2 linked regions of the Caenorhabditis elegans genome follow. The protein of the gene in region 1 purifies or fractionates together with the protein of each later gene. This does not show direct contact. Each region holds a gene or a part of one and is shown on either strand. Other genes may lie near its edges.

Region 1 (3,986 bases):
CAAGTCTACTTTCCCTTTCCTATTTTGGGTGTTGTCGTAGAAGCTCTATTACTACCAAATGTTGGCAATAAATAATGTAGTTGATTGATTAAAAAACGTGATAGTTCAATTATCAAATATAATTGTTTTTATTTCAATTATTCCAGAACCTACCATACTGCTCATTTCAATTTCTTCGTTCATCTTTTCCTTTTTCTCGTCTCTTCTCTATTATATAGATTTATGTCTACAGCTAATATCAGTCAAGTTAGAATATTTTGTGCCTGTGTTTGTGTGATTTGAAGTGGGAAGAAAACGAGAAGATTGATGAATAAGAAAAAAGAGGTTGAGAACGACGAGACGGGACTGAAAAGTGGGCGGGGTCTGACTACTCTTCGAGTCACCGCGCACCGAAGAAGACAAGGTGATTGAATGTGTGCAGCTGCTATCGTCATTTTATTAATTTTTTTTGGAAAAGTAATAAGCTGAAAAGACGAAAAAAATCGTTAGAAGCTTTGGAATGTGAATGAAAGAGAAATAGAAACATTGTCAGATGGGCGGAAACGAGAGGCAGGTGGTGTTGTGACGCAAATGGAGAAGAATGGAGCAGCAAAATCCAAAAGGGAAATAGTGAATAAAAAGAAGAGATTGAAGATGTTGTCAAGGCAACAAAGACCGGATAAGGTGTGATGTACTCTTGTGGTCTGAAAAAGGGTATTTTCAGAATTATGTTGTGGTTTCAAAGAGTGTTTGCTTACTATGTTCAAGTATCTATAGATCTCTAGTAGTCATAATTATTTTTTGAGCTGTTAAATATCTTAAAACCTTCGTAGAAAGAACAATTGTTTTCTTGTACGTCAGCTATGATGGACAAGTTAAAATCTTTCCAACTGACCAATTAAACGTTCACACATCATTCCCTTTGTTTACACTGACTTTTGAAGAGAACAATTCGTAATTGATATACTGAAAAACAAATGAAGAATCGCATGGAATCAATAAATATATTTATTATTGTTTACTGCCAATTTCCATACAAAAGAGAAATATTTTAGGATCATAGGAGAGATGGGTATTGCAAATGGATGTTTAGATGGGAATGGCTTCAAAATGGTTGAACAAATCGAGAAAGATGCATTGCAGAGAATTATGTCGGCAGATTCGGCTTAAGCCTTCCACTTGGCGACGGTGGCCTTTGGATCCTTTCCATTTTGCACATCGTTACGTCCATCCTTTGTTACTTCAGTACCGTCTGGCTTGACGATGATGAGAGCTGGGATTCCGGAAACTCCGTACTTGGTGGAAAGTTCCCTGGAAAAAACTAGTTAAAGAGGATTTTATAGAGTTATAACTTACTTGATGGCATCATTTCCATATGGGATATGGTACCAATCACCGTGCTCGCTCATATACATTTTCAGATCACTCTCGCTACGATCGAAAGAGACGAAGACGACCTCGAACTCATCTTCAACCTCCTCATAGAAATCCTTGAGAATTGGTGTGAAGCCGCGGCACGGTGGGCACCAATGAGCCGAGAAGTAGAATCCGACGGCCTTTCCAGCTAGAGCTTCAGTTGCGTCGACCAACGTTTTGTCGCGTTTTTCAAGTTTCACTCCAGCCAAAAGAGACATGTTCTTTCCTGAAAATATATATATTGGAGAATCAATATAAGAGTTGAGAAATTGATAGAATGGGACAAGGAGAGTTTAGTCCTAGGGTTTTTATATGAAACTTTCGGAACAAAAACTAAGGAAAATGAGGATGATGCGGAGGATGAGTCAATATCTCTATGATGAAATGTATGAGGAACATGTGTTGTTTTAAGATCAACAAATATCTTTCACTTTTAGTGATGTTGGTTTTGAATATTTTGAACTAGTTTTCCATTTCATTATTGGAATGAATTGTATGACAATCTACAGTAAATTGAATTCGTGATGAAAAGAAAGAATCAAAACGAAAAACGGGGGGAGTTGTTGGTGTTGTCAACACACAACACTCTGACAAAACTGAGAGAGATGTTGGAGAAGGGAGGAAATAGTTTACAATAATTGGAGATTTTGAACTGGGTCGCTCGAAACGAGTCTTTTTCTCGACGCTCTAAAATCTGCGTCTCAAATTTTGCGCACTTTCATATATTTTCTTAGCATTTCTTCACTTTCTAATAACATCTGGCGATCCCGATTTTCATAAGTTTCTCCACTTTTATTTCTAATATTTGGTCTCTACCGCTTTGAAAATATGGAGAAGTTCATAGTAAGTCTGAAAAGCTAGGATCTACGTTTTTCACGTGGTTTTCCAAATCAAAAAAATTTAGGATTTACTAGAGTTTGGCTCAGCGGAGCAGAAACGAAAAATGGGTCGACCATCAAAGATCCCTCCTTTCTCACATTATGACGCGTATAGAAGATCTGACATCGACTTTTTCATATCATTGTTTTCTGGAAGAGAAGAATTATACAGTCCGTGCAAGAAGAATAGTGATTTTCGACAGAAAGCGTTTTATATTATAGAGAAAAAATGTGGACATTTTCTTGCAATGAGGAAAGGTTAGTTTTTAGTTTTGAAAATGTGATTTACGAAAAGAGAAAGACTGTTTTTGATTTGGACTGTAAACATGTGAACAGGAATAAACATGTTTATGAACACCACATCAACTTACAGGTAGAAACGCCGAAAAGTTATGGTTATACCTATTCAATGATTTTGAAAAAATGATTAGAAATGGTGGTGATAAGAATGATGAGAAGTCCAAGTCTATAGTTCCGTTCTACGATTGTCTACAATTCCTTATTCCTTATTTGGAAAAAACAGACAGGTATGAAATGATCTAGATTTCCGAAACGGAAACCTTTTTCCAGCTTGTCAAAATTGACATTAACGACTTGCAATGCAGAAGCCGATGATCAACAAGTAAAAGCAAAAAAGCCAAAGATTGAGCATGAGCTATCAGAAGACAAGTTGAATGGTCTGAACTGTGATTTAAAGTGTATGTAAATTACAAGTAATTTTTCAGATGACTGGCTTCAAAAAGTTATAGATACGGTTACATGTCAGCAATCTACAAGTTGTACAAGTATACAATTGAATTCTTCGGCTCCTTCAACCTGCTCTGCAAAAACACCTAACTCAACAGCAAATCTACCAACTTCTGAAAAACACGCAGACATCATAGCCTATGTAACAAACTTTTTAGAAGATGTGCCAAACGACAAGTTGATGCTTCACAAAGTTCGATTATTCCAGTTTATCGAAGAAGAAAAGTCTAGGTTGAAAGAAGAAAGTAAATAAATTGAAAGGAATGATAAAAAAGAGTATAGATTGGAAGTGATAGTCTATGACTAGAAAGCGAGACACTCTTGTTTGTTTATTCATGATCATGGTCTCTCCTATATGAAACCACTGAATTTTTGATCGCAAATACTTTTTTCATGGAATGAACAGGTTACTACGAAATGCTCCGAATATCTTCTGATTGTGTGATCTATATAAGAAACATTAGTGAGCATATAAAAACGGTATCTTAGTTATTGAAAAATTTACTTGAATGCTAAACTGGGCTTATACTTTCGACTGACTTTCATCGTACACTATGGAATTGATATCTAAAAAATAAGATGACGTGGTGGTTGGTTAACCAACCATGTTAACCAACCAACCATGTACAACTAATCAAAAAGTAAACGTATAATACCCGATCGCAACGAAACAACTTTCGTGTTTATCAGGTCACCTGCTGAGAAACTTGCCAAATTTTTCAGTGTTTCACTACCTTTTGGGTCGACCGACATCTGCGCGGCACTCGTTGCTGGTTGTTTCGAATTCGAATTCGCCGTGTTCCCCATCACAGTCAAGTAATGATGGGGAAACCGATGAGATAACGAATACACCGTTCAAAAGGTAAAGGTCACGTTTTCGATCGAATTTTGCGATCAAATTGAAAAAAATAAGAAGAAGAAGAGATGGCAGAACATACACGTGATGAATTCAAAAAGGCAGAAAAA
Region 2 (3,193 bases), on another chromosome or scaffold:
ATGATGCCAATGGCTAAATTTTCAATATTATCCTACTTCCGTGTATTTCAAGAATATGTTCTGAAAGTTGCGTGCCCTTTGTTTCTTTGCAGTTGAAGATCAGAAAATTTATCCGATAATAATTTCCAGAAAGAAGAAAATGAAATGTGGTCAGCAAAGTAAGAAAAAATGTGGAAGAATTGTTAAACTATTTTTCTGTCCATCGAAGAAATATTGTGCTGTTTCACATTGGAAGAAACGTGTTTTTCAATTTTTTAGTGCGTTTACAGATTATGTTACAGTGTTTGTTCTATGCTTTTGATTACAACCAGAAGTGCGCGGTAATCACAACAACCAAACTAGATGCTTATCGACAGTATAAATTTCTTTAAAATTTTCGAAATGCATAAAATTAAAAACATTAATCTATGATTTGTTGCAAAATTTATACTTGTCCCTCAAATTTCAAAGCTTTCAAAAAAATTTCAAAAAATTTCAAAGCCTTTTTAAAGCAACTGATTGACGGAACACTAGAATGACAAATGATGTCAAGGTTGAATTGTTTAATATTTTGAATATAAATGGGTTTGAAAGTTATTGGAATTTTTAGTAGGATTCGATGTAGTGTTTTTCTAAGCCTAAAAATGCAAAGTAATTTCACGTTTTGATAAAATTATAATTTAAATAGAAATGAACAGATAGAATGGTGCACTACACAAGTACTCAATTAAGATATTCTTTGAAATCGGCAGTTTAGTTTTGACAGTTTGAAAATTCGGCAACCCGGCAATTCGACAGTTACCAAGTTTAATAATTTTTGTCAGCTTTTGAAAATAAAACTTCAAAAAATGATCAAAAGTGTACATAGTTTTTATAGTGTGAGTGTTATAATGGATATTTCTATGTTCATAGTTTATATTTGATAATCTATAAATTTTGATATATTTTTGCAAGTTTAAAATTTTTTCGATAAATCAATATACATAATTTCCGAACTGCCGAACACAATTTAATTTTTTTTTGAGTGAAACATTGATCGAATTCAAATTCTTACCATAAAATATACGTTTGAATTAAAACATGTTCATGACTTTTCTTAAAATAAGCAGCTAACATCTTTTAAAAATTCTTCAAAACAAATGGGAATGCAATACAAATAAGGATGCAAAACAAATTTGAAAATTTATTTTTAACGCTCGCATCTCACAATTAGAGCATTTATAATAAGAATGCAAAACATTGCAAAAATATGGTATCTAAAAAATTTCAAGATGTCTTTCAGGAGAGCTGTTATGTCAACTGGTTCTTTTCGTCTAAAAAAAACGGTCAATTTCATGATCAAGAAGTATATTCGCTTAAAAGAAGCAGCTGGAAAATATTTTTGAAAATTATAAGTTCGTGAAGTATGGGGCATACTCTTTCCAGCACGCCCAACATTTTATATTTCTTGAAAAGTGGTGCCAAATCCCATTCCATTCTAATTTACACAATCGCTCGTTCTCGCATTCTTTTTGCAGGCAGAATTTTTCTGATGCTAATGAAACGCTTGTAATTTTCTCGGCTTTCTGTACTGAAATGAGTGCTGTGAGGAAGATTATGCAGAATTGCTACAACGGTTTTGGCGCTTCAAAAACCATGTGATTGTATTTGCATTTTGTTCAGTTTTTAAATAGAAACTACAGCTAATGTTGAGACAATTTTTGTCTATTTGGTTTTTGTCTGTGTGCTATTAAAAAAATATATCACTGAACGTTCATATTCTCTAAATCTTATCTATTGACAACTATCTTCTGTGAAAAAAACCTCAATTTTCAGAATCTCACCAAACTACCAAAAGAAATGGTTAAAGACTTGCGTTCAAATTCACTAAATGCTCTTCAAATGACTTTACGTCTAACTCTTCTCATATTTTCAGTTGCCATTGTTTGCCTCTATATTTCCATTTTATATCTGGAGAGTAAGTATATAAATTATCAACCAATTTTATCAATTAAACATTTTCAGAGACCTATCCGAGAGTCGATCCACACTACCCGCGAAAACTGGTCTACATTTGTTTCCCCAAACAAGACAGCTTTGTTGCTACCTACATGGGTATCATACGTACCTTCGATCTGGTCTTAAGTGTATTCTTGGCTGTTCAGTGTGTCGTATTGGGGTGAGAAATTGTACTTTTACATGTGTATCACATAATGAATTTCAAGCATCTCTACATCTTTCCCAAGACTCCACTGGCCCATCTCAATTATTTGTGCAGTTCGCTTTATCTTTGTTCTCGTGGAAATTGTTCACATTTCGTCTTTTACAGGAGGTATTTTTTGCTCGAAAAGTTTTATGCTGAATTTGATTTTAAAGACACTCAACTCGACTTCATCCTCAGTGTCAGTGATGGTACATGCAAAGTGAACGAAAACCAAATCACTGCATTCCGGGCATTAGTTGCAGTGTTCACACTTCGATGTGTCAAAGGATATATAACAATTAATATGGCAACTCTAGCATATGGAAATAGCATTCTTATCTTTCTTTTTGGTTTGAGAGCAGTGCAAACGGAAGCCCAACCGAGGGAAGTCAACGATGAGCGCCAACTGGATGAAATGTCTAGTCATCACATCCATTTAACTGTATAGTTTCATTCCTGTCTAGACACTAAAACATTGTTTTTATAAATACTTCAAATGTCGAATTCCAACAAAATCAGCTGCAGCTATGATGTAACGGCGTACATGAACGGGAAAACGCGTGGGATTTATAAAGTTTAATGTGATAGTAAAGTGCAGGTGAAATTTGTTTTAAAAAACTTATAAATGTTCAGAGTTACTTAATTAAGTAATTTAAATGACAAGATTATTGAATTTTTCAAAGAACATTGTTACATTTTCACATACATCTTGTCAGCGCATATGATATTGGTTGGTTCAAATCAAAATTTGGTTAATTAAAACTAAACTTGGTCAGTGCGAATTGAAATCGATCAGTGCAACTCAAAGTTGGTCAGTGCTTACACCAAATTGGTCCGTGCAAAGTAAACCTGCTCAGTGATTACACCAAATTGTTCAATGCAAATTTAACTTGGTCAGTAAACCTCATGTAAATTTCAGTCACAAGAAAAGGTTCACTCTATGTACGTTAACAACAAACAGTGTTTCTCTTTAACTGAAAATCTCTATGTTTTAAAACCTTCTCATGAAAAGATTACCAGCATATTTACAGG

The links.
Region 2: the proteins of txt-18 (region 1) and C10A4.6 fractionate together in Caenorhabditis elegans (co-fractionation; one large-scale study listed by BioGRID). This does not show direct contact.

Annotation. Positions count from the first base shown.
Region 1 is NC_003280.10:6,342,085-6,346,070, forward strand, and holds txt-18 (transcellular chaperone signaling (x)cross tissue), read left to right. Parts: upstream 1-1,987; 5' UTR 1,988-2,223; coding exon 2,224-2,238; intron 2,239-2,299; coding exon 2,300-2,531; intron 2,532-2,646; coding exon 2,647-2,800; intron 2,801-2,843; coding exon 2,844-2,950; intron 2,951-2,998; coding exon 2,999-3,273; 3' UTR 3,274-3,431; downstream 3,432-3,986. Other genes in the region: C32D5.8 (protein-disulfide reductase), read right to left, coding at 1,146-1,290, 1,336-1,621, 3,755-3,827.
Region 2 is NC_003284.9:7,388,782-7,391,974, forward strand, and holds C10A4.6 (G protein-coupled receptor), read left to right. Parts: upstream 1-1,788; 5' UTR 1,789-1,818; coding exon 1,819-1,936; intron 1,937-1,983; coding exon 1,984-2,137; intron 2,138-2,183; coding exon 2,184-2,290; intron 2,291-2,334; coding exon 2,335-2,609; 3' UTR 2,610-2,661; downstream 2,662-3,193.